7 linked regions of the Ovis aries genome follow. The protein of the gene in region 5 purifies or fractionates together with the protein of the main gene of each other region. This does not show direct contact. Links are inferred from orthologs where the notes say so. Each region holds a gene or a part of one and is shown on either strand. Other genes may lie near its edges.

Region 1 (3,991 bases), on a different chromosome or scaffold from region 5:
TCTGGGGCCCTTGTGTCATTTCTCCTGGCGCCAGATGGCCCCAGGGCAGGTGCACCGTGGGCATAGGCGCTTGTGAGTTTCTTCACCTGCACTAACGTACTGGAGGCGGGGCGCTAACTGGCTGGGGTGGGGCAGCGTATCCTCGCTTTATCGTAAAAAGCTGGGATGTTTCTGTCCCTGCGCTAAAATGGAAGCTGTGGCTCGTCTCCCCCGCCCCGCCTGTGACGGCCGCAGCTGCTGGTGCTGCTCTTGGCTGCGGGCTGTCTTGTTTTCTCCCGTGGCCATGTCATCTGAGTCCAAGCTGTGTGCATGGGATAAACCGGGGGAATCCAAAGGGATAGTCAGTTCATGGCTCTCATTGCCCTGACAGTGCTCGGCGTCTGCGGGCAAGTGGGCAGCAGCTGTTTGTGCCCGACTGTAAAAGAACAGCCCTGTCGCTGCCTGGGAGGGTCACAGCTGGTGGGGGCGGCGAGGCCACGATATGGCGTCTCCTGTTACATTCTGACTTTTCAGGGACCTGTGTGCTGAGCACGTGGGCAGCCTCTGTACATTGTCTTGTTGAAACAACCTCATCTCGGGCTTCAGCAGGGACTCAGCTCAATGAAAACGGCCTGGGGTCTGGATCAGTTAACACTGCCCTTTCTCGGGGCCTCTGGTGGGTCTGGATCGTCGGCACTCTGGGTTCTTCATGTAACGACCCTGCTCCTCCAGGTCCTTCACGGAGCAGCTCAGAAAGATCTCAAGAGATGCGGGCATGCCCATCCAGGGCCAGCCATGCTTCTGTAAATATGCCCAGGGGGCGGACAGCGTGGAGCCCATGTTCCGGCACTTGAAGAACACGTACGCTGGCCTGCAGCTGGTGGTGGTCATCCTGCCGGGGAAGACCCCCGTTTACGGTAGGTCTTGGTGCTGCCCCTGCCCTGGCCCTACGGGTGTGCGGTGCGGCCTCTGCCACACCCAGGAGGGGCCTGTGTCTGAGTGAGACCAGGTGGTGTATGATTGTGGCATGCACGTGCCCAGGGCCACCTTGGCAGTGTCATCTGAGGCCCCGGTTCCCTGGGATGGGTGTCCCGAGGGGGTGCGGGATGCGGCAGGCGTGCAGTTACCTTGTCCGCTGCTGACACAGACTTCGGCTGGATGAAGAATGGTCACACGATATGCACGCAGTAATCCCCTCGGAGGGGCGGGGGCAGTCCTCAGCTCCTATTTGGGACTTGGCCCTCCTCTTGTGAACCGTGCCATCTTAGAATCCTCTGGGATTTGATCAGAGTCCTTTCTGCCAGAAGGCCGGTTGCACTTCTACCTAGCTCAGAGTTTCCAAGCCCTGGGATGGAGTCCCAGGCCCTGGTGGGGGAAGCTCCCGGGTGTAGGCAAGCGTTGGGGAGGTGGGTGCATGTGGGTCTGCTGGAAGCCCGGTGGGAACCGGAGGCCCCGTGCAGGGAGGTGTGTGGGCACCATGGGGAAGAGGGAAGAGAGGCGCGATTGGCTCGCTGACTGGCTTCCCCGTCTCCCATGGGCTTTGCATCCAGGAGCAGGAGGAAGCCCGGGTGACTTCTCCCAGGGTCTCCCGTCTCTGCTGGCCTGTCCAGAGAGCAGTTGCCCACTCGCTTCACAAGAGAACCCAGAATGGAGGGGGGTGTAGGCCTGGAGAGCACTTTGGCATCGGGTTTGTATTGGCCAGGGACTAAGGATTCAGGGGTTTATATTTTTGACTACTCAAGCGTTTGCTTGCTGACCCGAGTGCCTGGTTTCCAACCTGGCCCTGTGCACACTGCCCTGTCGGCCTGGAGAAGTTGCAGAAACGCTCCTGACTGAGAGCGGGCCTCCCTGAGCCGGTGGGGGACGCCCCGCAACTGGCACGGAGCTGGGTCCAGGCTTGGCCGTGTGTGTGTCAGGCGCACGGGGTGGGCAGAGGAGCGCCGGGAAGCCGTGCTGAGCACCCTGTTCTCTCGGCAGCCGAGGTCAAGCGTGTGGGAGACACGGTGCTGGGCATGGCCACGCAGTGCGTGCAGATGAAGAACGTGCAGAGGACCACGCCGCAGACCCTGTCCAACCTCTGTCTGAAAATCAACGTCAAACTGGGCGGCGTGAACAACATCCTGCTGCCGCAGGGGAGGTGAGGCTGGCCCTCTGCCATGCATGGGGCAGCGGTGGTGACACCCTGGGCAGGGCGATGCTGGGGTGGCTCTGCTCAGCTATGCTGAGTGCTGTCCCAGGCTTGGCAGGCGCAAGAAGTGAGTAGGACGAGGGTCTTGGCTGCTCCTGGTCTCCGTGTCCAAGGCCCCTGAGGACTGGTGCCGGCCCAAGGAGAAGGGCTCTCTGACCCCATCCGGAGGTGGGTCCCGCCTGTGAGATGTGGCAGCTGTGTGGCCAGTGCCGTGTAGACAGGAGGACCGCACCAGCACCCCAGGTGCCCTACGGTCAGTGCTAGGACAGGGGGCTTCCCGAGCAGGAGGCGGTGCTGTCGGCCCCAGGCCAGGGCCAGGCTCTGGGGGCTGAGCAGCAGTGATACAGCGGAAGGGAGCCCAGAAGGGTGAGGGCCTCATGGAGGAGGTGGCATGGTGCAGACTGGGCACTGGGGGCAGGGCTGTGTGGACACCAGGAGCAGCCTGCTCCAGAGGGTGCAGGCCGCGCAAGGGCCTTGGGGCAGCCTGCCTGCTGGGAGCGTGGCGGTCATTCGGCTCAGAGACCGAGGGGCGAGCCTGGGGGCCTGGCACTCGCTCCAGGGGAACACAGCCACTGGGGAGGTTCACAGGAGCGGCCCCGCTGACCTTGTTCTGAAAGGCGACCCCAGCTCTGGACAGACAGGAGGGCCAGGCCTGCCGGCGTCATCCCAGGAGAGCCACTGGTGGGAGCTAGGCCGGGGGCGCCCAGAGCCGTGACGTTTCGGCGATGGCGCTGCCTGGCTCACTGAGAGGATGCGTTTGGTCTGTGAGTGGAAGAGGAGAGTCTAGATTGCCCCACCCTGGGCTCTGGGAGCGATGAGGTGACGCCAGCTGAAGCAGGGGTGCAGGGGCGGGCTGGGGGGAGCCTGTGCTGGAGAGGCTTGTTCAGGGCTCCTCACGTGTGGGTGGTAGTTAGAGCTTGTGGGCTGGAGAGCACCCCGGGGTGCAGTGTAGACAGGAAGGACAGCCAAGCCTGGGCCCTGGGGGGTGCAGGGTTGGAAGGTCGTGGAGGCGAGGCGACAGCTCTGGAGCCCAGGAGGAGGTGGCGGGGAGCCCGTGCATGGCCGCCACACGGCACCGACCAGCCAGATGTGGCGAGGTGTGAGGCCCTCGGCCACAGGGCTGGGGGACGTGAGCAGGGTGCAGGTGACCCTGCAGAGAGCAGTCCTGTTGCCATGGCAGCGTGAGGCCCGGTCTGGAGGCAGGAGACGGGCTCAGCTAATCCCAGAGCTCTGCTGCCAGGCGAGCCTGGGAGCCGCGGGGCGGAGTGGACTGTCCAGTGGCTGCTGTGGTTGTGCCGGTTCAAAGTGTGAGTCAGAACTGCGTGTGTGGGTGCACCCAGGACCCATCAGAGGAAGGGGAGGGCAAGAGGAAAAGCTGTGGAGCCTGGGGGGCTCGGTGCAGGGCACCTGGGCAGCACGTGAGTCTGGGAGGAGAGAAGGATGAGGCATCAAGAAGGCTCCCAGTCGCACAGCCAGTGAGGCTGGGGCCCACCAGCTGTTGGAGAACTGGGCCCCCAACACTGCCTCTTTGGGGAGGTGACTGCTGGAGTGTAGCCAGCATTTAGAAGACCCTGGGAGAACAGCCTAGCTCTGTGTGTCCCCACTGGGACACATTCACCCCCCGAGAATATGTGGCTGTGTCTGGAGACACTGGGGTGCTGGGTAGAGAGCGATGTGGCTGCCAGGCGCCCTGCAGTGTGGCCGCAGGTCCAGGGTTGGCTGCAGACCTTGGACTCTGTGGACGCAACTATCTCGGAAACGCTCGGTCACCTCCCTCGTGCAGTGTGCGCCGCCTGCAGCCTCTCCCGCTCCGGGTCACTCTGC
Region 2 (3,991 bases), on a different chromosome or scaffold from region 5:
AGTGGGTGCAACTGACATTTAATACAATTTTTCTGTATATTTAATCCATAATTTCTGATTGACTCATTTTAAAAAGTATGAAAAAGATAAGCAATTGGCAATGTAACAAGGATACAATCCAATGTGTTCACAGATTGGTTACCTGTGAGACTGGTGCTTTAACATGGGGTGGAATTCCAGAGGAAGAAACAGTGCCACTAGGAGGCAGGTTTTTACTGGTCACTGAAGCCCAGGAGAAAGCCTGCAGGAAATGCAACAAACCTAGACTACTAATCATGGAAAACCACCAACATTCCTATAGGGAAACTTCCAAATATATATTTTCTTTTCATTTCTAAACTATTGCTCTATATTGGAGGACTCCTAAAAAGAAAGGCACACACACACATGCCAGTCTATGTGCCAGGTTTCAAAATCTCATTATGCAAGATTATGACTGTTTGTCTGAACTACTAAATAAATCCACAAGCAAGTTCCTATATGCTCTAAGTAGATGAGCAAGTGGCAAGCAAAACCACTAACAACTACACATGCTAGAAAAATAAGAACCTAATAGAATCAATTTATTTCCCCTTTTGGGGGGAAGATAAGGTGTTGTGATGGCGCTAAGGGGAGAGAGGAAGGACAGGAAAGAAGAGAGTACTAGCTGGAAACTTTAACAGACATTCACAAATAGAGCAAGCAATCTCCTCCTCTCACTACCCAAATATACCTACTTTACAGAAAGATAAAAGATGTTTTAGGTAGGTTTAAATGAAACACTATGGGTATCACTCATCTTTCCAAGACAGTTTGGTGTAGTAAGGAAACTGTTCCCATTTAAACCAGAAATAGCACACGTTATCACTTGTTTTAACAATAGGCCAATTTGTTTTAACTTGGGAAACTGCATGACTCCTATTTGCATCCGTGTGTAGAGGACTTAATACAGAATGGAAGAGCAACACTTGGCTTTATTACATGGACTCGAATAATTTCATGTATGGTACTAAACACTGCACACAGATAAGAATCAATCTTAAATTTTATTCTGAGGGGTGTTTTTTAGGGGGTGAAATATGATTTCCTCAGAATTACAAAAAAAAACCCCACAGCTTCTTTCATACACATAAAAAAGCACAGTTTACTATTCAGCAATTAACACAACAGAACAAAAGTCATGCTTCATTAACGGCACCGTATGAAAGCGTGATGTTACGGGTCTAAAGAGTTCCTCTGATCTAACCTTTGGTGGTTCCTGTGGCAGAGAAACAGGTTCAGCAGGCGGAGGAGAAGCAGACTTCTCCTCTAACTCTTCCAAGTTCTTCTCCTCCACTGGAGGTTTCAGCTCTTCAGTCTTTGTTTCAGATTCAGGCTCAGGTTCAGGTTCATGCGAGGATTCTTCTAAAGGCTCCTCTATGCCATTACTACAACAAAATATTTTGTTCACTTTTCAGCAGGAGTGAAATGATCAACTCAAATAGGAGAAAATTCAGCATTTCTCTAATTAATGGGCAGAACAAGTAATATACACTGTTTTGAAGCAAAGTTCATTAAGAACCAGAAGGCAGAAGGAACAATACTCTCAAGCAGCATTTCTTTAACCTAAATGTAAAAACTGGATTACTCAACATGTTTACTTTAGTACTATTAGGAAATAAGGAAAACCCATTATTTAAAAAATAAAATGCGTACTCTGTGTTGTTCCAAACAGTACACATTATTAGCAAGTGATCACTTTTAGGTCAAACCCACATTCGATTTTTGAATTAAACGTAAGAATGCTTTCCAAATTTCTTGCATATACATGGTAAATACTCAGGCACTGGCTACATAGCTTTATCAAGAATTTACTTTCAGCAACAATTCTAGGAACAAAAACCACTTGCAACTACATGATATGAATAGTTTAGGCCAAAGGTGGCCTTGCAAGCACTATTCTTACGTCACAGGGTGAGCTTCATAGTAACCACTGTTAGCATTCTCCTGCACAGGTTCTGGAGACGGTTGTCTTTCCTCTTGTTCTTCCTCTACTTCATCTTCTGATTCTGACAACACATAATACACCACATCTTTTATTAAGAGGCTTAATATACAATTTCATATATATATTTTTAATGTTCAAAGAAATCATAAAATAGTTTAAAAATAGCGTGTTTCTTGAAAGTACAAAGGCACTTAATATTCCTTGTTCTCTTAAAAAAGAGCAAGCAAGAAGAAGTTTGGAATTACACTATTTTTTAAAAAGATCTATTAGTAAGAAAAGGAAAGAGTAGGAAAAAATGGTCTTTAAAAAAATATATATTTATTTATTTGGCTGTGCCATATCTTAGTTGCAGCACGTGGGTTCTAGTTCCCTGACCAGGGATCAAACTCAGGCCCCCAGCATTGGGAGTGCGGAGTCTTAGTCACTGGACCATCAGCAAAGTCCCCAGAAAAAATGGTCTTAAAGTCATAACTCAGTTTCCTTTGCCACATTAATTCAATGAAGCAATAATGACAGAGAATAAGAAACAAGCTGATGTACGTCAATAGAAGATTAAATAATTATGGTACAGACAAAAAAATATCAACAGCTAACAAAGATAAATTAGATGAAAAAAAGGCCTAGCTTTGAATCAGCTACTTCCACTTTTAGGAAAGTATCAGTTGGTATAGAATATAACAAAATTCTGTAGTAGGCACCAAATTCTTGGTTATCTATAGAGATGACATTGAGGGAGATTTTTTTTCTACTTTCTGTGTATGATTTTTATATAATTTCATATAAAGAACATCTGTTTTTTAAACAAACCAAAAAAAAAGAACAAAAAGGAGCAAAGGGGCTTTGACTCAGTTACAGAGTCAAATTTCTGTAAGTTTCACACTTTACATGTTATTAAAGAGTACTGATACCAACAAAACCCTTGTATCTTGAAAGTAACCTCACCTTCATCAAGTTCTGGTTCAGAATCACCAAATACTTCATCTTCATAACGAAACATATCATTGTGAACATAAAACTTATTTGGAACAGATCCCTATAAAAAAAAAACACCCCAAATACTCCATAAATACCCATAAACATGGTATGACATAAAGAGAATAAAGTTTTTATTTTAATACAGAAATAATATATAGACTAAATATAATTTTCCAAAGCTTAACATGCTATAATGTTAATATGAAGAAAATCGCAGAATACTTAAACTCAAGAAATGACTACTTTCAAACTATTAACACACTTTTAATATTACTTCTGTAATCTTAATCATCTGTTTGCACATTTGTATCAGGATCTCGTTTTTTTCTGCTCAATGGTCAAAGCGCAGAAAGTTCAAAAAACGAACAGGTCCAACACAGATTTCTCAAAAACAGCTACATGCATATCTATACCTGTAAGAGGAAACTCTAGCCACTTCCAGCAACTAGTTAACTGCAAAATGAAATCACATAAATGAAAATTAATTGAAACGAAAACTTACTTCAGGAGCCAGAACAAAGGTTTGCATAAACTTCCTCTCTGGTTGTCCACTGTTAGACAGCAAACCCATGACCTGGACCACTACTCCATCACTCAAGGTTGCATGAGCATCCACGTGACGAATTTTAGTATGACATTCACTGAAGTTCAGAGATAATACTTTGTGGTGTATATCCTTTATTAGGAGAAGGTAGGGAGGAAATACAAACTCATGATATTGCATTACCTTTTTAATACTAGGTTACCTATTCAATACTACAGACTTCCGCCGATTTCCTCACAACTCTAGAATTCTAACTGCTTAATCTCTCTGCCTCATTTGAATCCATTCCGCCACGCTATGCATTACTGACAGACCCATGCTCCATAAACTATGTTGACTACTACATGACCTCACACGTGGTTTTACTTTACTGCTTGTCTGCATTTCTTCCTTCAATTTCCTCTTGTTTGGTAAGGCCAATCCTATAATTCAGAGACTAGCTGAAATCCCACATCCTCTACATAGTCATAAGGAATATATTTCTATTCATTCCTGTAACATAAGGT
Region 3 (4,790 bases), on a different chromosome or scaffold from region 5:
TTTACGGGCTCCACAGCCCAGAGTGCAAGCTCCTACCTCCCAGGGGGCACACTCAGCCCCAGAGCCTCCTGCAGTGTGAACCCCAACAGAGTCAGTGACTGTCGAAGTTTACAAGTCAAGAAAGTATCAGCCTGGGCTCCCTAGTAATCCAGGGCACATGCCCTAACGCAGCAGGCAGGCATGTGGCGTGAAACCTCCAACATCAATGTTCCACAACTCTGAATACAATTCCTGGACAGTGTGGAAAGAGCGAGTTCCACTGACCCAAGTCCCTCCAAGCATCTCTGCTGCTCATAGCACGCCACTGGGGCTTCAGGCTTTCCCAACCTGACACTAAGGACAAGCCCTCCAGGTGCATATCAGTAATTTCCCCTAGAAGCATCTCGCCCCAACCCCTCCCAGCACACCCACCTCCCTCTTCAGTACACCCCACTGCATGCTAGAGGAGCTTAAGACCTCCCACAGAACACCAACCGTCTAGACAAAAATTCAACTACTTTTCATGAAAAGATCATTTTTTGAGTTGAGCACTCTGGCCAGATGACACCAAGTTCCACTTGGAAACCAGCACCTCTTAGAAACAATGTCCACAACAGAAACACAGCGAGGCACTTACTTGAACGATAGCAGGATCCTGAGGGAGCGTGTGCTGAGCTTTCGGAGGTTCACACACAGTAATATCTTTGATATCACTTCCCCGGAAGATGATGTACTCATAAATCTCCTCTCTAGGGGGGGCAGGCCTATCTGTGGGACGGTCTTCAGTACCAAAGGACCTCACTTAGGGGTTGAGAAAAAGAAGGGTTAATTTGTTGTCCTCAACCAAGTGCATTCAATCAGTCCCCTCCTAGGAGCCATCCACAGCACCCAGTTTCCATGTTTCAACTAATACCCACCCACAATTATCAATGGAGAAGATGCCATTATCAACTGACAAGACCCCAGCTGTCGAAGCTCCAAAAAGTTCTAGGTCACAAAGGACAAGGAAAGATTCATGAAGCTCAATGTTCTCACTTTCAAATACAAGCCAGCACTCTCACAAAATGAGTCGTCTGGTTTGCAGAACCCCCGTTCACGTCTGACTTAGCAGGTTAAACGGCCCCAAAGCTGCTTTTTGATTGAAACTTCACGACACATCAGCCCTGGGGAGTCTGTTTTCAACTGAGAAAAGCTGTGGGTTGAGTGCTATCCCCACCCTTCTGTCCACAACCAGCCTGGGAGGAGCTGGTAGAGAAACAATGGGAGGGGGGGCCCTGAACATGGACGCCCACCAGCAGTGTCACGGTCTCCTAGAGGAACTTCCTAGGGGGTTAATCCTTAATGGCAGGGTTCAAGGAGCCCAAGCAAGTGTCTCCTGGGATCTCTGAGGCACAGATGGGCTTGAGGCTGCCTCTAATTTGAGCACACTGAGGACCAGGGACTACTCTGGGCCTCAGGTTTTCCAACCAGGGTCTCAGGCCAAATGCGGTCAAAAAGTAAAAATAATTATAATCTTATAATACTAGTTAGTAATTAGTACTTATACTAACACAATACTAACAGTACTTGTATCAACACCTCCTGGAGCAACGCATCCATCAAAAAACTTAACAACTAGTCTTTGGAGGACCTATTCCCAGAGCTGGGAACTGACTGCGACCTAAAGGCCTGGGGCTCTAACACAGGAGCGTGCGCGCTACGCCTTGACCCTTGAAGTCCATGACAATGTCCTTAGCCTAACAAGACCCACCAACCACACGGGGCTTCTGTAGACCTGGCTGCACGCAGCACTTCTAGGAGGCAGGGGAACCACACTAGTTACCTTCCCGGAGGATGAAGACAAAGGAACTTTGGGGCCACCTCCTGCCTCAACACACTCAGAAAGACTCTGGGCTCCAGCAGAGGCACAATGCAGCCATCTTTTCCCTAGTCTCCCAGGACTTCAGTGGGGTTACCAGCACCCGCAGGGAGGGGTCTGTCACCAAAGGATAAACCCACACACCAAACGTCTGAATTAGAGTAGGAAGGCGCTTTCAAAAGGAGCACCTAGCCGCAAACCGATGCTCTTATCCTGGCAGGAGAATCCATTAAGACGTGGTATTTGTTCAGGCTCAAGGCCCCAGCTGCTTAATAGGTTCCAGAAGGGCTTGCAGGAGTCGTTTTCTCACCCCCTGCCCCCACAGCGTCCCGGAGAGGCCCGGCGAGACTCGGGTCTGCCCACCCCCCCCATCCCTCCCTTCCCCTCCCCTCCCGCCAGGGACCAGGTTTTCTCGGCTCCCGCGGCCCGCGGCCCTAGGGCAGGCAACCCCAGCAACGCCGAGCCCCCACCTATAGAGGTGGGCTACGCCACCATGGAGAACGGGGGGCGGCGCCGCGGGAGCTGGACCCGCCCCCACCTCCCCACCCCAACTCCGGGCTGCGCGGGGCGGCCGCTCACAATTACGCCGCCTCCGGGGCCGGGGGAGCCCATTGTGCGGGTCGAGCCCCGGAGGGCTACAGCGGGACAGGGGCGGAGGCCGGGGGCGCCGCGGGGGGCGCGGACCGGATGCGGGGGCGCGCAGGGGGGCGGGGGGAGGGGCACCCCGGGCGGGTGAGGCGGGACTGGGGAAGGGGCGCGCTGGTGAGGTGGGGGTAGGGCGGAGGCGCGGACCCGGCTGTTGGCGGGGGTGGGGGCCGGACGGTTGGGGCGGCCGCGGGGCGCTACCTTTGGCGAGCGCCACGGTGGAGTTGTCCGTGTCGATGGTGTAGAGGATGCCCTCGTAGCGGATTTGTGCCTTGGAGATGAGGCTGATCTTGCTGCCCAGGTACGGGGTGCCCGAGGAGCCGCTCATGGCGGCGGCCGCCCGGCCGGGCTTGGCCCGCTCGCCTCCGCGCGGTCGCCTCGTCGCCCTCTCCTCGGCCTCGGCGCCGCCTCACCGCCGTGCGAGGGCCTGCGCGGGGACCAGCGAGCGAGCGGCGGCGGCGCGCAGCCGGGGGCTCTGAGGGGAGCGCGGGGGAGGAGGGGCCACAGCAGCCACATCCGGGGCCTGCGCCGCCACGCCCCGCCCCCACACGCTGGCCGCCCATTGGATCGCCTCGCCGGCCTCCCTTTAAATATGGCCGTGCCGCCGGCCTGGGGGCGGGCCCGCGATCTGCTCCTGCGCAGCTCGCGCCACCAGCCCGGGCGGGCTTTTCCCTGCGTTCCGTCCCACTTCTCGGCTGGCTCCCGGCGGGCCCCGCGCAGGGTGGTAGCACGAGACGCGACTGGCAGGACTGGGGGAGGGGTGGGAATCGGCCGGGGCGGAGCGCGCGTGCGCGGGAGGGGCGGGACACACGTGTGGCGAAGGGGCGGGGCGCCAAGTTCTGCCTGCGGCGCGTGCTAATCTCGCCACCCAAGGGCAGGGAGCCAGTGGACAGTTCACGGTTCTCAGTTTCCTCTTTATAGCAGCTTGCCGGACATCTTTCCCCGGCCCTGGGCAGGAAGGCCAGCGTGCGCCTCAACTCTCCCGTTCCCCAGGGGTGAAGATTAGGGGCTCCCTTCCTCGGGGAGTGACGCGGGCCGAGGTCACTGACCAAGGAAGTCGGGGTCACTGCCCGTGGGGTGAAGGTGGGAGGCCGGGGAGGTCTCTTCCTTGAGGGTAGAAGGTAGGAGGCCAGGCCATAATCATTGCCTGCGGGGTGGAGGCGAAGGGTCGTGGGGGAGGGTCTCTTCCTCGGGCGGAAGAAGACAGGTGATCAAGGTCACTGCCTAGGAGGTTAGGGTGGGGGCTGCCCCTCGCGCGTGGGGCGCCGTAGTAACTGCGGGTAACGAGCGCTTCCGGCGAGTTGGCCGCTAAATATAACATGCTGAGCGCATCTTCTCCTTTAATCCCGCCCCTCCCCCTCTCCTGCGGTGGCGTTCCGTGTCCCTTAAAATAAATCCCAGCCGCGCCACGAGAGCCTCCGAGCCCCGCCTGACCTGGCCTGCGTGCCTCCTTGTCCGGCTCCGGCTGGAGGCCTCGCAGTGAACTGGGGAACCGGTCTCCCCTCCTGTTCGCCAGACCCCTCTTGCCTGCACAGCCCTGTATTTTATGGGTGGCTACGTCTGCACTTGCTTTTTTTTTTTTTTTTTTGGTTGGTCTCTCTCTTGACATCAAATCAGAAGCCAGTATTGGGTCGTGTAAAAGCTTAATGAGTGGTGACCAGCATTTTATAAAAACGAAACAGAATGAGGTGGAGAGCATCTCAGGGAGAGTGCTCTGGCTCTGGGAACCGTTTATTTCAGGTACTCGTATTTAAGTGGGTACTTGACCAAGATGTAAAGTGCGTTGCTTGCAGTAAGTGCCCAATGAAAACGTGAGAGCCACCGCTGTGAACCCCTTACCACACCATGCACATCAGCTCTGACTCCCCATTTTACAGAAGAAACCGAGCCCGGGTGTGGGAGGGTCACGCGGCCCGCAGGTTGCAGATGCCACAGACTCCTGCCCTTGTGAACCCCCTGGTCCCACAGGCACCCTGCAACAGAACAGTATTGGGTTGGAGAAAAGGGAGCAGAGAAGAAGCAGAAGATAAGATGAAAAAGTCTTCAAAGTGTAACTGCCGAGATTTAGCTGTGCTTCTCTGCTCCTGGAAGTGCACTGGTGAGGTGACCCCTGGGTTAGCCCAGCTCAAGTAAGGTCTCCAGGCCTCCAGGCCTCCAGGCGTCTGCCCATAGGCATGACACGGCTCTCCCTCAGCACAGCACCGTCTTCCCCAAGGCGTGCCTGTGTGCTACAGTGCCCCCCAGGTCTCCTGAGCACCTCAGTGACCATCTGGCCTGGGGTCCCCTGTGCAGCTGATGCCCCCCGGCC
Region 4 (3,991 bases), on a different chromosome or scaffold from region 5:
GAAAAAAAAAAATCCCTCAGCTATTTCTTACTCTACTTAGTTCTGATTTATCATCTAAAGAGAGAAACCTGGATGAGAACATTACCCAGTTATTCTGGGTATCTAGGTAACTAGAAAATGGTAATAAGTTCCATGAATATTCAATAGAGAAAATTTAAAAGACTAAAACAAGGAGGTAAAATCCAAGGCTAGTTATGTGTATGAAATTTATTTGTACTCCAAGACAGATTTACAACGTTACCTGAACAATAGCTGGGTCCTGAGGCAAAGAACATTGTGGTTTTGGTGGCTCACAAACAGTAAGGTCTTTAATATCACTCCCACGGAATATTATGTATTCAAAGACTTCATCTCGAGGTGGTATTGGACGATCTGTTGGTCTGTCTTCTGTACCAAAGGACCGAACTGGTAAGAAAACAGAGGATATGAGACAGGCGTCTACTCACTGTATTCAGATAGCGCCTTTTATGGTGCACTGTTTCAATAATACTAAGGGGCACTTAAATGCCCTCCATGAGAAAGCATTCATTAATTTGTAGCTAAAGTAAATCTTTTTTAAAGTCGAAAAGAAAGTGGGTTTTGCATAGAGTTACATGTGTTCAATTTAAAAGACTATCAGTATTATGAATACTGTATTAGAAAGTATTGTGTTCTTTCTACATTGTCACTTACTTACATCTTTGGTGGTTGTGGTAAGAGGTGCTAAAAAAAGCCCTTTCATTATTGATTTATTTTTAATGTTCCCATTCAGCAAAATAAAAAACTGGCAACTCGTATGAGTGAGTGAGTGAGTGAGTGAGTGAGTGAGTGAGAGTGTGTGTGTGTGTGGTGAAGATTTTCCCAATCTACAAAAATCCCAAAGTCGGGAAATTGAGCTTCAGGTTTAAGATAAGACAATGAAAAGAATATCTTCCTTGGTTAGTAGTACATCCTCTAGAAACCAAGTAAAGCCTCTGTGAGCTACTCGGCTCCATGGGACAGCCTGAAATGCCCTAGTTACCTAAAATATCTACCTCGTAATTAAATCTGACTATTCTAACACTCAGGATGGCATTATTCAAAGTTGAACTGTGACCAGCTGTTTCAGAGTAAACTAGCTAAAAAAAAAGATTTTGGAATCCACTGACTCAGATTTTCTGTGAAGAGGATACAGAAATCTATATCTATATTTTAAATCAATTCCTCAAGAGTTTCTTATTAATACTAAAGCTTCAGGTTCACTCTCTTAGGAGACTTCTGAAAATGTTGACATCCCCATAGACACTCCAAATAAGAAAGCCTGCCATATCAGATATTATTCATTTAAAGAGTACCCTAGAGGAAGCAAATCCCTTAACACTGTGCAAAGTTTTATATTTTTCTGCAGAACTTATCCATAGCTAGACTGAAGATAATATTTCAGCTTAAATGCCTTTTTCTTAATCCTAAAAATTTTTTGAGGTACTTATGAGACTTTCAGGAAAAGATAATGGCATAGTTGTAGGTTTGCAGATGACTATTCCACCCTATAACTAAAGAAAATTAAAAAGTTAAAATACCCCTAAACCAAGAAAATACCTCAAACCTATACCATAAAACTTTATTAAAAAGTATCATGCAGATATTTTTTGAGTTAGTCCACTCTGGAAGGCCAACTCCAGAATCCACATATAGCATGCTAAGAATTTCCCAGGCATACTCCAGCTTGATGGATGAGGACACAGATGTGATAAAGGAAAAGATGTAGAATGTCAGAGCTGAAGCTCCTCTCTCTCTCTGGTGGCCAAACAATACTGTATCAGGGCAGAAGTAACAGACATGGTTTTATGTTTTGTCCTTTAACCAAAAAGAAAGCTAGGAAAATTACAAATGGATCAATCCCACTCCTAAACTCAGCACCAGCACTATTACCACCATACAAAGTTTTATTAAGTCCCAGACCTCCAAAGGAACAAATCAGCTCATCCTGAAGCTGCGGGCAGGTGGGGTGGGGTTAAAGGTCTTCCATCTATAAAACCAAAGAGAAGCTCTATTAGGCTATCCAAGGCATAACAAAACCATTCAAATGATATCCATGTATCCAAAAGAAGGATGAAACAAGAAAATTTCAGAAAGAACTGCTTTATATTCTCAAGAAAAGTAAAACTCACATACTGAAAACACATAGAGTTAAAGAAAGAAAAAAAAGAGGTAAGACAAACATAGCTGCAGAATAAACATAATAAGAATAGTTTCTCAGAAAGACAACAGAACAAGTAAGACAAAATGCAACTAAAGATATAACAAATTTCCTGACATAAGGACCTAAATATGATCAGAAGGTTTCACTGTATTTCCAGGAAAAAAAAAAAAATAAAGAACTTTAGTGCAATATAAGCCATACAGACTTATCCTTTACTACATCAAAATAAAGAACTCACAGAGACAATGGCATTGAAAAATAAGAGATGGACAATAAAATCATTTAAACACATTAATGTATGTGACAATTTACCCAGGTGCAAGTGTGCATGCGTGTTCACTCACTCAGTCGTGTCCAACACTTTGTGACCCCATGCCTCCCAGGCTCCTCTGTCCATGGAATTTTCCAAGAAAGAATACTGGAGTGGCTGGCATTTCCTACTGCATTCCCCACCCAGGGACTGAACCCATGACTCCTGCATAGGCAGGCGGATTCTTTACCGCTGAAGGTGCTAGGATAGGATGCAAATTTAATAGTTCTGAAAGACTACAAAGTTACCAAGTGTTAGAAAAGGGAAGTGAAGCTGCTCAGTCCTGTCTGACTCTTTGCGACGCCATGGACTATAGACTACCAGGCTTCTCCAACTGTGGGCTGTTAAGATGGTATCTATTTTACACTCTATTCTCAGAAAAGTTGGGAGATGAAAATAAGAAGCAAAGGAAACATGAAAGGAAATTCATAAATGAATACTCCCAGCTTTTACAGTAAGGAGTTACCTAATAAAAGTTTGGGGGAAGTTGATAAATTCACATACATTGGCTTAAAAATTTGTTATCTTCGGTCATAAAGATAACCCACAGTAGAGCTGAAAATTAAAAGCATACTTTCCAACATATGGTATGAAGAAAATCTCTATCATCAGCAAGAGAGTCAAAGTAAAAAATCATGGCAACAGACACCATGAAGAATCATTTGCACACACTGAGAGTTTGAGAAACAGGTTCTAATGATAGAGACTATTTGATCAGTTTTAATGCTTTCAGGACAGTTCTTCTAGTATTATAAAAAATAACTTAATTAGAACAGCAATAAGAAGGGTATAAATGTCCGGAAGATAACAGAACAAATGAGAGGTAGTGAAGGCTGGAACCTGGATGCTAACAGCAGAAAGAGCAAGCAGGACAAGAACAGACAAAGTAGAAAATTACCAGTACTATTCTGCTACAAATAATTTTAATACATGAATTAGCTCATGTGCAACTGGCTAATAAGGGAATTATGTCAGTACAGTCAGAAATCACATTGTTTCATCCCTAATTTATTTTAACCTGCTATTTTATTTATTGTATTTTAGGGAGCAGTGGCTAAACATAGAAAACCGTGTAGGAACAGTGTATGATTCCCACTCACCCCAAGTTTCCTCCTGGCTCAGTAACCAGTCCTTACTGTGTGGTTCTTCCTGATCCTGATGCACTCTGTCCTTGCCTCCAAGTAGCAGACTAGCTCTGTTATACTTTCTTCCATCATGCTACCTTACTTTTTTTCCCTTTCAAGCTGGCAGACAACTCCATTGTTAGGTATACTTCACCAGCGATTTTGATACTGTTATCTATTAATGCTTTTTCTTTTTGGTCACATCACCCGGCTTGCAGCAACTTAGTTCTCTACCCACTGTTGAACGCAGGCCTCAGCACTGAAAGCGCCAAGTCCTAACCACTGGACTACCAGGGAATTCTCGATTTTTCTTAATTGCATTGTTGTTTAGTTGCTAAGTCATGTCTGACTCTTTTGCAACCCCGTAAACTCTAGCCCATCAGATTCACTGTTGTA
Region 5 (3,991 bases):
CTTAAGTAAGATAGCTAAAGGTTTTCTTGGCTGTTTTTTGAACAGAAGATTTTGACATGTAGACGTATTTATGTCCCTTGACTGCTTTAGTTATTGTTTTTAAAGGGCAAAAACTTAGGGGGAAAAAGAAAGTGTAGTTTCTTCAGGTTTAACTTCTTTGGTTCAAATTCATAAGGGCATACATAATGCTTTTCTGAAAGCACAAAGTGAAATCAAAAGCTCAACTCTTCAAGGATTCTCAGTTGTCAGAAACAGAAAAAAAAATGAATGAATGGTTTTGCCTTGTTCCTTTGTAGATTTACATTAATTAAGCTGTGCCATTCTTCATTGAGTTGTAATGCAATTGATTGTAATGAATCATTGACTTTTAGAGGTGGCAGGGACTTTAGAGAATTCTTCCGGGAGGAAACTGAAGGGAAGAGATTATCATCTGACAGCTAATGCTAATTTAATCACAGTATTGTTCTACCTGATATTTTCTGGGTTGGTTTGAACTGACAGTTTAAATGAGATCTGTCTCAGTGCAGGTTTGGTTTTTGAAGCAATTCATTTTTTTCCCCCCTCTTTCCTATCCTGGATAGTGATTTGATCTACATGCAGCTGTATCCTTAATTCTTTAAAAGAAGAGAGTGCTTATAAAGGAGTTCTTCAAATGGAAACAACAAAGGGGTGTTTTTTTTTTCTTCAAAATTTACTGTTTGCTGATTTAACTTTTTTTCTTTGTTTCAGATTGAAGTGAGATTCAGATACATACTCAACCTTGTTAGAGGGCTTTTTAAAAAATTAAAGAGTTGATTCCTGCATGAGAGCAAGTTATTGCTGCTTACCGTTCAGAGACTTACAGGTGCTTGCCTGCATTGCAATAAAGGACTCATATATTGAGCAAGACTTATATTTATCTCTTCGTTTTGGAGAGCCTAATAAACTGTTATTACAGTTTCTCTACTGACTTTCAAAAGTTTTGAAGTTTGAAAGAGACATCTTTAAAATTAATACAGCATGAGCACGGCCAGAACAGAGAACCCTGTTATAATGGGTCTGTCCAGTCAAAATGGTCAGCTGAGGGGTCCTGTGAAGCCCAGTGGTGGCCCTGGAGGAGGGGGCGCACAGACTCAGCAACAGATGAACCAGCTGAAAAACACCAACGCAATCAATAATGGCACTCAGCAGCAAGCACAGAGTATGACCACCACTATTAAGTAAGTGTTAGAATAAATAATAAACACACTTGGGGGACCAAGGAGATATATTTCGCTACTTTGTTGTTGACTACTTTATGTATACCATTTTAGTTTAACCATTTTGATTTGAATAGAGGACAGTTGACTGTTTATGGTCAGTAGGTATTTGTGATAGAAGAATGTCTCTCTGTCGTAATTAATTCAGGTTTGTTAAGTAACAAACATAGGCACGGATAATATATATTAATTTTTTTCATAATGAGCTCAAATTCATCTTGTTTTTGCCAGTATGGCTTTTTTTCTAGTGTGATAACTTGACTTTATCCTAGTTTGAATGGCAGTTAAAGCCAATCTTAAAGACCTGTCCAGCTTTCTGAACTTCAGAGGTACTCAGAAAATTTATCCATAACTTTTTTTTTAGTCTATGACGCTTTGCTTTTCTGTCCTATTTTATTTATTTTTAAAATACGCTTTCTCCTTTTACACATACACAAAATAATTAGCAGTTTATATCATAGGGAACTCAGGACTTCAAACAGTTTGGAACACATCTCTGAATAGTCCCAAACCTCTTTGAAGACTTTTAAAAACTAAGAGCCTTATTTTACTACGGAATATTTTTCTTTTAAATTTGAAAGCATTTAGGCTGTCATCTCAACTGATCGACTTCACTTTGACTTTTCACTTTCATGCATTGGAGAAGGAAATGGCAACCCACTCCAGTATTCTTGCCTAGAGAATCCCAGGGATGGGAGAGCCTGGTGGGCTGCCATCTGTGGGGTCGCACAGGGTTGGACAGACTGAAGCGACTTAGCAGCAGCAGCAGGCTGTTCTCTTTAAGTGTACACTTTAAAGTATGTGAATGGTGACTATGATTCCAAAGAATCAGTTTAATAGAAAATTAAGAATCTTGACCCATTTGGTATTTGTGTTTGTTAAGAATCTAGCTGTGTAAGTTGATTTAACCTCTAGAAATGTGATGAAACTCAAAAGTGTGTTTTATTACAATCAAAGTCTTTTCCATGCTTAAAAGAAGCATTTACTAAAGAAAAATAGCCCAAATTTTCAACAGAATTCATTTGGTCACTGGGAGAATTGACATTAATGCATATTATTATTTTTGAGGTGAATAATTAGAAATAAAAAATGTTTTCTAAATTGCAGTTTGTCTTGACAAAATATGAATAGACTAGCAACAGTTAGTCTACTTTTAATTTGAAACATAAAGCTGCATTATTCCATTTTGAGAGCATTTTCTGCTTAAACTCTGATTTGAGACTGCAGTGGATTTTGCCTTTTTTTTTTTTTTGCTCTTCTTAAATAGCTTTTTTCCAATTCTGTGACTCTTTAAATTTCAGTTGAAATACCATCTCTTCTGTGAAGACTCCTAGATCCCATGTCTCAGAGATAGTTAATACCTATCTCTGTTAGTTAATCTCTCATTAAAAATTTTTTAACTTTCTAAGATGATGATTTTTTTTGTGGGAAGATTTTGCGTTGTATCGTCTGCATCTTTATCCACTGTTTAGTGAATTTGACAATGTGACAAGCTGTCCTACTAGGATGTTCAACTGAAAATGCTCAGAGACTTTGGTGTGGTATTATAGACTGGGGTGAAAGGCTTTAGAACTCTTGGATTTGGTGGCAAATAGTTTCCTGTGATAGAGTATCTTGGATTATGTGGGATGAAGCTTTAAGTAAAATACGTCCTTATCTTCCTGAATGAATACTCGAGATCTTTTGGGGGGGGGGGCTTTAATTATGAGCTGTTATCATTAAATCAGTGAAAATTTAAAAGACAGTTGAAAGCATTGTCTGCTTTATTGACAGTTTTTTTTTCTGTTAGATGCTTTGGATATTATATTACTTGAAGTTTTTACATGACCAAAAAGAAAATTTTTTATGTTTTCTTTGTTATTTTCTTTCATGGTTTCAAGCATCCCCATTAAAGAAGATTGAGAGATGTTTTTTATTAACAGCTAATTTTTCCAGGCACTGTGCTGCATGCTTTATAGAAGCTATTTTATATAATTTTTATCTCTTTATATATGAAAGAATGGAGATTTAGAAAAGTAACTGTTGCAGGGTCACAGAACTGATACATAGAAGAGTCAAGGCTTGAACTGAAGTCTGAAACCTTATAGATTCTTTGGTTTTAACTAGTCACCGGGAGCTACAAAATCAGATGCCTATAGGGGACTGCCAGAGAAGGCAATGGCAACCCACTCCAGTACTTTTGCCTGGAAAATCCCATGGACAGAGGAGCCTGGTAGGCTGCAGTCCATGGGGGTTGCTAAGAGTTGGACACGGCTGAGCGACTTCACTTTCGCTTTTTACTTTCATGTGTTGGAGAAGGAAATGGCAACCCACTCCATTGTTCTTGCCTGGAGAATCCCAGGGACCGTGGAGCCTGGTGAGCTGCTGTCTGTGGGGTCGCACAGAGTCGGACACTACTGAAGCGACTTAGCAGCAGCAGCAGCATAGGGGATTGCCAGATGAGAGGGGACTTGACCTATTTAAAGGCATCAGGTGCTTGATTTTAAACTCCAGTTACTAATGCCTATCAAACTGTTGCTATGCAGAAATTTGGAACCAGTGTTGCTGCTAAAGCTTCCCCCCCCCCCACAAGAAAATCCAGAATCAACTTTATACAAAATATCCTAGTTTTTTAACGTTGGCAACTTTAAATGAAGCAGTACTGTTTAGGTCAGACAAAACACATGGGTTACCAGTTTTGAAAACAGTTGAACTATATACAACATGCTTCTCTTAAAGAGGATGGATATCTTTTTTCCTTCCATTCTTGATTT
Region 6 (4,285 bases), about 52 Mb from region 5:
TGTACAATACATTTATGTGCAAAATGTTCATTTGGGTATTAAATACCGGAACCTGCCCCCCTCCCCACTACATTCAGAAAGGTGAGAGCAGCGAGGTGTGCTCAGGACAGGCGGGTGAGATCAATCAGATGCTGTCTGTTCAGGGCTGGCATCACCAGGGACCCAGGCCCTCATCTGGGTGACTGCGGAGCGGTAGAGGGTGGTGACGGGGCCACAGGCGCCCCCCCCCCCCCCCCCCCCCGGACACAGACCCAGGCCCTGGCTGCAGGCGAGACCAAGGGGCTAGGGCAGCGCTTCCGCCTGCCGAGCCGAGGGACCAAGGGGCGGAGCGGCGGCCTGCGCTCCCGCGGGGAGGTGTGGAGGCCCCCCCAGGACACCAAGTGCAGACAGGGAAGGGGACGTCAGAGCATGGCTCACTGCAGCGGTCTCAGGAAGACAGAGCGAGCGCGCTGACGCTGCGCGGTGGCAGCAGGCTCCAGGCCCGCGCTCCCGCAAGCCTCCGCGCACCTGCAGGCGCGGCTCAAGCGCCCGCGGCCAGAGCGGGGCCGGAGCGGGGCCGAGCCTAGCCGTGTGCCGCCTCCACTGCTGCGCTCAGAACCGAAGGAAACCCGGGCGGGGAGGAGACAAGAACGGCTCAGCTGAGGGCTGGGCACCGGCCACTGAGCGCACTGAGCTTATTACGCGTGCTGCATACCCTATATTTTATTAGAACAGGGAGAACCCATCAAATCAGCAGAGGATGGATGAGGAACAGATTAAAAACACATCAGCTGGGTTGTGGTTAGAGAAGGGATGGTGTGCCAACTAAATTTCTCAGTCTAAACTCGTTCTTTAAGGGCCCTCTGGAGGCCACATAAACATATGTGTCGGGGTGTGTGTGTGCGCGTATATATTTATATCTCTACTTCATCAGCTCTCCTACAGTCATAGAAATAAGGGGCGATGAGGGAAGGGATTCTGTGGCAGGCTACAACCTACTCTGAGTTGGAGCGGTGGTGGGGGGATGAAGGGAGAGGTTATGTTTGTGTCTCAAGGGCAAAGAAAAGGCAGGATGGAGAAGACTCGAGTAACGTGGGACATGCAGGACTGTCACACAGAAGGTAAGAAACCAGCCGAAGTGTGAACCCAGCCACGCTTCACAGAGCAGTGGGCAGGACCTGGCATTCAGAGACAGCCCCTGTGAATGGACTCGGTCCCACCAGACGCTCTGGGGAGTGAGCTACCTTCCCTCCCTCGTTTAAAACAACACTCCATTGGCGATGGCAGCAGAGCAGGAGGCAGCCAAGAGGAGGCACAGGACGCGCGTGGAGGCCTTTACCGTATCCCCTGAACTAGCCTACGGCACAAAGAGAGAGAGGAGACCTGTGTGAATGAGTTCAGAGAGCAGTCATCTGCACCAGAACCCAGCCCTGTGTGACCTCTCCTATCGGAACACTGCGAGATCTGGACCCCAGCTGCTGTCCCACTGGGAGGGTTCTGCTGCGGCCACAGTGCTTTACATCCAGCAGACACTCGTGTATTTCACAGAAGTCTTTAATCTCTTCCACTGGGCTCACGGCGTCTCACGCCCCTCTCACCCCCAACCTCCTCAGCGTAGCTTCTGAAGTGCCAGCTTCAGGGAGATGTGGGACCCTCCTGTTTCCAACTTACTGCAGCTTTGTCTCCAGCAAGTTCAGTTTCTGTCGGTCAACGTAGCGAGAGAAGAGGGATACTAGGTTTGTGGGTATAGAGACTGGCTTGGCCAGGCCCGTCTGGGGAATCCGCAAAAGTTCTCGGGTTGCCACGAACATCACCTCCGTCCTAACAGGGAAAACCGAGAAAAATAATAATGTAAGAAAAGGAATGAAAAAGAGGACCTGAAAGAACTTCAAAGAAGAAACACGGCCCAGACTGACCACGGGTTGCTTTGCGCCGATTCTGAAGCGGTGTCTGAGCTCTGTAGGTCTTCCCCGCGGCTCAGGACGAGGAGGAGCAGGGACAGGCCAAACTGTGAGAGGAGACAGAGGGTGTCAGATGCCGCACTGACGGCCGGGGCCAGCGCTGAATGCAGGCACCCTCCACCGTGCTGCTCCGAGCCCACGCAGAGCCCAGAAGGGTCCCTCCTGACTCGGCAGCTCAGGCTCTCAAGGGCAACGGGAGCCCCGGGCCCCACAGCCCCCAGCTCCCCCATCCCACCCTTTGATGAAAAGCAGACTCTTCCCTGCCACAAGATGGGGGTGGGGGGCGGGTAGCTTTTCTCCTATTTACTAGAACAGAAATAGAAGGGAAAGTTACAAGAAGACAAATTTTGATACAGAAAATTAAAAGTTTATAGAAAAAAACAAAAAAAGTAAAACATAGAGTTTGAATTAAGAAAACAGGTGTTAAAGCCCTGTGGGAAAATACACAAAGAAAGGGAAATGGAATGATTAGGCTATGAAGAAAACATTCCCTTAAAAAATGACATACATATCTGGAAATATAAAGGCTTAGAGGATGCTAATGAGAGTTTGAAAGATGAAGAGAGGATGAGCAGATCCATCCGCCGTATCTAGGACTGCTAACACATGAATATTTATTTCACTCCGTGGGCAGGAAGAGCAGAAAACACAGACTCTAAGGGGCAAAAACACGGGCGAGGCCGAGGCTGGACGCACGGGTCACGGCTGCCAGGGCCCAGGAAGGGAAGCGGGCAGGTCCTGGGACTCCAGCCCCCCGTCTGAGTCCACCTCACGGAGGATATCCTCGCCTTTCCACAAAGGTCCCTTCATGTCACTGTCAGAAAAACAGCAGGTCACATCATCTCATCTGCCTTCAGGCTTTTGCACTGCCTTTATCAAAATAAAGCTAAGGGACCGAATAACGTGGAAGGCACACAACTCCGGGACCCCGTCTCGCGTCCCGAGGCCCCGCCGCCCTCTCCGTCTCCGAGGCGCTCCCTGCCCTTCCAGCCAGGCTCTCCAGGTTTTCAGGTGCAGAAGAGCACCCCCCCACCCGCCCCGGGTCTCCTTGTCCCTCTACTGTAGCGGATGGTCCCGAGTGAGCGCCACTGCGTACCCAGCACTAAACTGCATCGTTCACGGCCGCCTGCTCACCTAAGTGACGCCGACATCACCTCCACTTTACAGATCAGGAAACCGGCTCAGCAAAGTGCAATGACCGGTTCACGGTCACAAACCTAGGACGCGGCCGAGGAGGGGTGGAAACCTGCTCTGCCTAAAAGCGCACCGCTCTCCTTCTGTACTGACTCCTGGGAGTCTCTGGACCTTTAATCTGATATAAATGAAATATGAACTGGGATGTCTTGTGACAAAGACCGCTCATTACCTACCTAATCCTCTTTCCTCCTACTAGATCTGACTCTACCCGTGGTGACAATGGCGTGAACTCAGAGATGTTTCCAGCCTTCCCTGCACTCGGGTGTGGCGTGAGACTACGAGCTGGCCGTTGAGATTAAGTAGAAGTCGGTGGTTAGAGCTCCGGGAAAAGGTCCAAGTGAGGAGGCCAGATCCCCCACACCCTTCAGCCCTTTAAACCCACCTCTCCTCCTGGTGCAGAGCGGAGCTCTAAATTCCACACCCACTGAGGACGCAAGCGTGGCAGCCGCTGCTGGGAGGGCACAGCAGGGGACCAAAGGAGTCTGCACCCCAACACAAACCGGGTTTTCTCCACGTGAGGTACAGAGCACCCTGTCTTGTGAAAATCACTACCACCTCCAGCTTCTGTCACCACGAGCTTAATGGAGCTCCCGGCTGAGGCTACAGCTGCAACCCCCTAGCCCTCCTGTTTCCCGCCAGCAGCCACCATTTGTACCCGTTCCTCGGGCTGAGAAGGCTCGCAGGGCTCAGGGCTCACCTTGTTCTGGAGCACGGCAGAGAGGTGCGGGTTGGACGGAGCTGGGGCCGCTGCACTCTGAGGTAGGTTCATCAGCTGCTGCAGAAGGCTGGTGACGGTCACTGGTGGAAGATGGTAGAGGAGGAGAGAGAAGGGACTCAATAGGCACGGCAGCACCTACCGGAAGACAGAACGGACAGGCCATCACAGTCTGGTAGCTGCTGCTTCTGCCACAGCCCTGAGTGGGCAGGGACGGAGGGGTGCTCACTGCCCCAGGCAAGATGTAACAAAGGAGCCTGACAAGTCCGGCAGATACTGCCAGCATCTCAGCAGCGGATTCCATGGCAACTGCTGAGAATTTTTTCCACGCGCACAGGAACATCATTACTTGTGTGAACCAAGGGTGCAAAATCACTTCTCAAATACAGAGCAAGATACATGATAGAACATCAGTATTCATTCTACAAATACT
Region 7 (4,699 bases), on a different chromosome or scaffold from region 5:
TGAGTGGTTGAGACAGAATCATCTGACCCCTAGAGAAAAAGTGTGCTTACCCCTGCTCTGGGGCTTCCCAGGTAGCTCGGTGGTAAAGAACCTGCCTGCCAATGAAGGAGACATGAGTTCCATCCCTGGGTTGGAAAGATCTGGAGAAGGAAATGGCAACCCACTCCAGTATTGTTGCCTGGGAAATCCCACAGACAGGGCAATATGGTGGGCTGCAATCCATAGAGGTTACAGAGAGTCGGACACGACTTAGCAACTAAACAGCCACCCCTACAATGAGCACTAGATGATGATGGCCTACATCAGAGTAGCAGCAGTAGGAATAAAGACTGGATTGGCATTTAGAGATTTTCTATGACTGATTCAGGGAGGCGTTTAGGAGGTGGAATTGACAGCCTAAATGATACCGATAGGGTAAGTGTTACCACACTAGCCTCCTAGGCGGCTTCCCTACTTCCAAGGTTCTAACCCATTCTCTACTCCCTAGCATTAAAAAAAAAAATCATTCCAGTCCCCATTTCAACTCTAAAATTACCCTTCTCACTACTGCCCTTAAGTTTCAGATAAAATGTTCCTAATTTAACCCGGCCTTCCTGTATAACCCAGCGTCTTCATTCTGGTCCTACATAACTACTTTAGTTGCATTTCCCCCAGACCCCCATCTCTTCCCTCTATGCCTTTGCATAAACCTCCATGTGCTTGAAGTCGGCTCTCTACCTTCTTCCCACGGCCACTCCCAAAACGCTTTGTGCGTTAGCAGCGCTGGGGTGTTTGGTATGTCGCATTTTGAATTTGTGCCTTCATCCCTAGACTGAGTTTAAGAAGGCTGCAACTGGCGAACTTGTCCATCCCCGGGAGAGAGCAGACGCTTTATAAAGAACGAAGGTGCAGGGCTTCATCTACTTCGTGTGGCAGCCTCAATTATGGCCGTTGTAAGAATAACATGCCTAGCTTGCTCAATAAACGTGAGTTGAAATTAAATCTTTTTTTGTGGCCAATACAAAAAGATGTGAATACTTAACAAGACAGTCCTCCTGTGCTTGGAAGGCAGGTCCCCATGGAGTACACCCCCGCCCTCCGCCCTCAATATTTTTAACAGGGGCTTCCTAATAGCTAGCGTGATCCCCCCCGCAGAGTGACTGGTTCGCCGTAAACCGACGCTCTTTGAATGGAGACGTTTAAGTATGTTCCAGAAACTCCCGGCTGTGCCGCGAGTACACGGCCATTGTAGAAAAGACGGCTCTATCTGCAGTAATGGTCTGAGGTCACAGGGACCATATTTGGAGCAGGGCGGGAGGGAGGCCTTCTCCACATGCAGCTATGGTGTCGTCGGGCCCCGTTCCAAGCCCCCAGGTCAGGCCGGGTAATCCCGGCGCAGGCATCTGGCCGTACCTTTCCTTCGGCCAGGACACAACCCTGGACCTGGAGCCGGCCCACCCCGGCTGCAGCCTCGTGAAAGTCACGTCCCCTCTTGCCCGTCCTCTCCGGTTCTCTATGGTTCTCGTGGTGACTCTACTCTAATTCTAGTTCCGGTCTCTATGGCGGCAGCAGAGGCAGGAACGGTTGTAGGTCGGCCGAATTAGCCGCCTAAAGGCCAATGAGAGTGGAGGAGTGAAAGACTATTAGCCAATAGAAACTAGGAGTTGTGGTCAGGTGGTGAGATTGACAACACTATTGACCAGTGAACGATGCTTAGGGCGGGTCGCTCGCAGGGCTTATCCCGCCCGTCCCGCCATTCTCGCTAGTTCGATCGGTAGCGGGAGCGGAGAGCGGACCCCAGAGAGCCCTGAGCAGCCCCACCGCCGCCGCCGGCCTAGTTACCATCACACCCCGGGAGGAGCCGCAGCTGCCGCAGCCGGCCCCAGTCACCATCACCGCAACTATGAGCAGCGAGGCCGAGACCCAGCAGCCGCCCGCCGCCCCCCCCGCCGCCCCCGCCCTCAGCGCTGCCGACACCAAGCCCGGCACGACGGGCAGCGGCGCAGGGAGCGGCGGCCCGGGCGGCCTCACATCGGCGGCGCCTGCCGGCGGGGACAAGAAGGTCATCGGTGAGAGCCGGACGTGGACGGGGGTGGGGCAAGTAGGGAAGTCTGGCGGCGGAACCGTTACCCGAAGCGGGGCGAGCCGGCGGGCGCGCGGCCGGCGGGGACCGTCTCGGCGGCGCGCGGCCGCCCCTCCCCCAGGCCCCCCCACTCGCGCCCTCGCGGACGCTGGCCCGCCCGGTCCGCGTGCCCGGCAAGCGCGCGCGCGCGCCGCCTCCCGCGCCCCCTGCGGACCCCGCGCGGCCGCGCGCCCCTCCCCCTGTGCGGCCGCGCGCCGCCGACCGCGTGTGCGGCGGGGTCCCTCCCCTCCGTGCCCGCCGGCCGCGTGCGCCCGGGCCCGCACGCCGTTGTTCCGTCCCCCACCCGCTCCCTTCCGCGTGTACCCTGAGGGCGCGGCGCGCCGCCTACGCAGGCCGGAGTGGGCCGGGCGGCTTCCCCCTTCTCACGTGCTCGCCGCCGCCCGCGGTCCCCGCGCACACCCAGCTCGGGCCCGCGCCCCGGGCCTGACCCGGGGCCTCTGCTGCGGTGGGTTCACCCACGTGGACCGTGCGGATGGCCGGCAGGCCCTGGGGAAAAAGGCTGTCAGGTGGCCATGGGTCTTTGCCAGGGAATGCGTGAGCCACCGGATGCTGAAGCGTGGCGGTTTTGAAAAAGGACGTCTAGTAATTGTGGGTTTTTTTTTCCTCTCTCCTTCAGCAACGAAGGTTTTGGGAACAGTAAAATGGTTCAATGTAAGAAACGGATATGGTTTCATCAACAGGTGAGATGACCGCCGCTGAAGCCCTGTCCTGCCTCTTGATTGCTCTCCTCCATCTGTAGGCTTTAGGAACTTGGGGTTGTTGGCGCTTGTGTAGGTTGCCATCCCTGGTGTAGGGCTAGTGGGGTTTTGTTTTCCTTGGTGACCGAAAGGATTAGGAGACGTAGAGATTGTCTTTGTTTTGTAGCTAAATGTTGATCTCTAGCTAACTTGAAAGATACAAAGCGATTTAAAAGGCAGGCGGAGTGAGTGAGCCATCTCTTACCAGGGCGAACTGAGAAAAAGCTAAGATCTGGTGTGATTTTGTTAGGCTTAGACACCTCGCATTTTTATCCGTCATTCTTTTCTATGTTACTGAAATTGGTATTTGAAATTGTGAGCCGCTGTTTACTATGTAGGTTATTTACAACTTTTTAACCTTTGGAGGTAACGTGCTTTGACAATGCAAGTATGTCATTTTGACTAAGGTCTTATTGCCTTATTCCTCCTACTTCCTTGTCCCCCCAAATCGTACCTGTTAAATCTTTGGTTGTAGCTTACAGTGACCTTAGTCCACGATTACATTCGTCTTTGTATTTGAAGGCAGAGCTGCAAACTGCATCTTAAGGATTAACCCTTTGAGTTGTTTGTAGCAGTGGGATGGTGACGGCAGTTCGCTCACAGTGCTCTTCGTGGTCCCTGTCAGCCGGGCATCTTTTCCAAGATGGCTGCCCGGGCTGGTGGTGCAGCTACAGGGTGTAGAGCAGTGTGCGTGCTGACAGCAGTGTTGGCCTTACAGGTGTGATGCGGTCATCGCAGCGTTGTATTTCTTAACACCCCTATTACGCTGGATGTTTGAAAGAACTTCAAGAGTAAGAAGTAATACCGAATGTTTCTGAAATGGACTCTACTGAGGGAAACCAAGTGGGCAAGATCAAGCCTAGACACACAATTGGCTGGCAAAAACCCACTAGTTACTCAAACGCTCAGAAAGCAAAAGAGATTGTAAGCATTTGACGGTCTGTTTTCCACGTTTGCAGTTGAGGAAACATTTTGTTTCTTCCAAAATCTTTAGGAATTTTCCATCTGTTCTTACACTGCCTTGGGACAGGCCAAGGCCACATTTTCTCATCAGTTTTTTGATAATGGGTTACTAGTGAGGAAGGCAGGGACTGCTTTGATGCCAGTGTTTGACCACTTTTTAGGTGATCTCTGAATTTGTTAGTATTTCAGTCTTACTCTGATTTTACTTTGGCCTCACCCTTAAACCAGTGGTTTTCGAATTTGTGTGCTTACCTTGAAAGGATAAAAGTACACATTCCTGAGTTCTTTCTTAGCTTAGATTCATTGGGTCTGAAGTACATTTTTAAGGAGAATTCCAGGTGATAATAGCCTGTAAGCCTTAGTTTGAGAAACACTGCTTTTGACCTTTGACCCAGTGTGGCGATAGGCTATCACAGGTGTGCCTATTAGGAGTGATCTATAATTTGCAGCCTTTTAAGTAATTTGTGTGTGTGTTTTAAAGATTGTGGTATATATGTGCCTTCTGTTCTGCTGCATTTGTTAAATGGATCTAGATTATATTTGTAGGTGAACAATTGATAATCCAAGATAAAAGCAGTTCTTCGGGTTCTAAGTTTATTCTGTGAGATAACCATTCCTTTATCCATCTAACTTGTAATCAACTCTTTTGATCATCAGATAGGGCAAGTTAAATGTAAGTTGGCTTTTAATGATCCTTTGTTTGGATTGTCTTAACCACAGTGTTTTGTCAAACTAACTGGTTCAAATAAATGTGCTTCACATTTCTAAACTGGTTGTCTCAATGATTCAGAGACTTTTGAACAAGACACTATAAAACCTAACAGAAGTTAAGTCCAGGAGAGGTTTACCTTCCTTAAGGGAAAATGTATAGCAAATG

Evidence for each region.
Region 1: the proteins of DDX6 (region 5) and AGO2 purify together in Homo sapiens (affinity purification with western blotting; 5 studies listed by BioGRID and IntAct, with this or other methods). This does not show direct contact. The link is inferred for Ovis aries from reciprocal best matches to the Homo sapiens genes DDX6 and AGO2.
Region 2: the proteins of DDX6 (region 5) and G3BP2 purify together in Homo sapiens (affinity purification with mass spectrometry; 3 studies listed by BioGRID and IntAct, with this or other methods). This does not show direct contact. The link is inferred for Ovis aries from reciprocal best matches to the Homo sapiens genes DDX6 and G3BP2.
Region 3: the proteins of DDX6 (region 5) and LSM14B purify together in Homo sapiens (affinity purification with mass spectrometry; 4 studies listed by BioGRID and IntAct, counting the BioPlex papers as one, with this or other methods). This does not show direct contact. The link is inferred for Ovis aries from reciprocal best matches to the Homo sapiens genes DDX6 and LSM14B.
Region 4: the proteins of DDX6 (region 5) and LSM14A purify together in Homo sapiens (affinity purification with mass spectrometry; 4 studies listed by BioGRID and IntAct, with this or other methods). This does not show direct contact. The link is inferred for Ovis aries from reciprocal best matches to the Homo sapiens genes DDX6 and LSM14A.
Region 6: the proteins of DDX6 (region 5) and PATL1 purify together in Homo sapiens (affinity purification with mass spectrometry; 6 studies listed by BioGRID and IntAct, with this or other methods). This does not show direct contact. The link is inferred for Ovis aries from reciprocal best matches to the Homo sapiens genes DDX6 and PATL1.
Region 7: the proteins of DDX6 (region 5) and YBX1 purify together in Homo sapiens (co-immunoprecipitation; 4 studies listed by BioGRID and IntAct, with this or other methods). This does not show direct contact. The link is inferred for Ovis aries from reciprocal best matches to the Homo sapiens genes DDX6 and YBX1.

The regions. Positions count from the first base shown.
Region 1 is NC_056062.1:16,050,691-16,054,681, forward strand, and holds part of AGO2 (protein argonaute-2), read left to right. Parts: intron 1-711; coding exon 712-896; intron 897-1,956; coding exon 1,957-2,116; intron 2,117-3,991.
Region 2 is NC_056059.1:91,239,657-91,243,647, forward strand, and holds part of G3BP2 (ras GTPase-activating protein-binding protein 2), read right to left. Parts: intron 3,618-3,991; coding exon 3,444-3,617; intron 3,000-3,443; coding exon 2,909-2,999; intron 2,028-2,908; coding exon 1,925-2,027; intron 1,407-1,924; coding exon 1,226-1,406; intron 242-1,225; coding exon 143-241; intron 1-142.
Region 3 is NC_056066.1:54,763,021-54,767,810, forward strand, and holds the start of LSM14B (protein LSM14 homolog B), read right to left. Parts: upstream 2,960-4,790; 5' UTR 2,811-2,959; coding exon 2,684-2,810; intron 2,203-2,683; exon of another isoform or gene 925-2,202; coding exon of another isoform or gene 897-924; intron 781-896; coding exon 617-780; intron 1-616. UniProt on the Homo sapiens protein: mRNA-binding protein essential for female fertility, oocyte meiotic maturation and the assembly of MARDO (mitochondria-associated ribonucleoprotein domain), a membraneless compartment that stores maternal mRNAs in oocytes.
Region 4 is NC_056067.1:44,115,320-44,119,310, reverse strand, and holds part of LSM14A (protein LSM14 homolog A), read right to left. Parts: intron 406-3,991; coding exon 242-405; intron 1-241. UniProt on the Homo sapiens protein: Essential for formation of P-bodies, cytoplasmic structures that provide storage sites for translationally inactive mRNAs and protect them from degradation. Acts as a repressor of mRNA translation. May play a role in mitotic spindle assembly.
Region 5 is NC_056068.1:29,122,432-29,126,422, reverse strand, and holds part of DDX6 (probable ATP-dependent RNA helicase DDX6), read left to right. Parts: intron 1-729; 5' UTR 730-999; coding exon 1,000-1,199; intron 1,200-3,991.
Region 6 is NC_056068.1:81,406,603-81,410,887, forward strand, and holds the end of PATL1 (protein PAT1 homolog 1), read right to left. Parts: intron 3,991-4,285; coding exon 3,835-3,990; intron 1,988-3,834; coding exon 1,896-1,987; intron 1,801-1,895; coding exon 1,651-1,800; intron 1,337-1,650; coding exon 1,315-1,336; 3' UTR 688-1,314; downstream 1-687. UniProt on the Homo sapiens protein: RNA-binding protein involved in deadenylation-dependent decapping of mRNAs, leading to the degradation of mRNAs. Acts as a scaffold protein that connects deadenylation and decapping machinery.
Region 7 is NC_056054.1:17,182,565-17,187,263, forward strand, and holds the start of YBX1 (Y-box-binding protein 1), read left to right. Parts: upstream 1-1,743; 5' UTR 1,744-1,882; coding exon 1,883-2,048; intron 2,049-2,303; exon of another isoform or gene 2,304-2,594; coding exon of another isoform or gene 2,595-2,628; intron 2,629-2,738; coding exon 2,739-2,802; intron 2,803-4,699. UniProt on the Homo sapiens protein: DNA- and RNA-binding protein involved in various processes, such as translational repression, RNA stabilization, mRNA splicing, DNA repair and transcription regulation.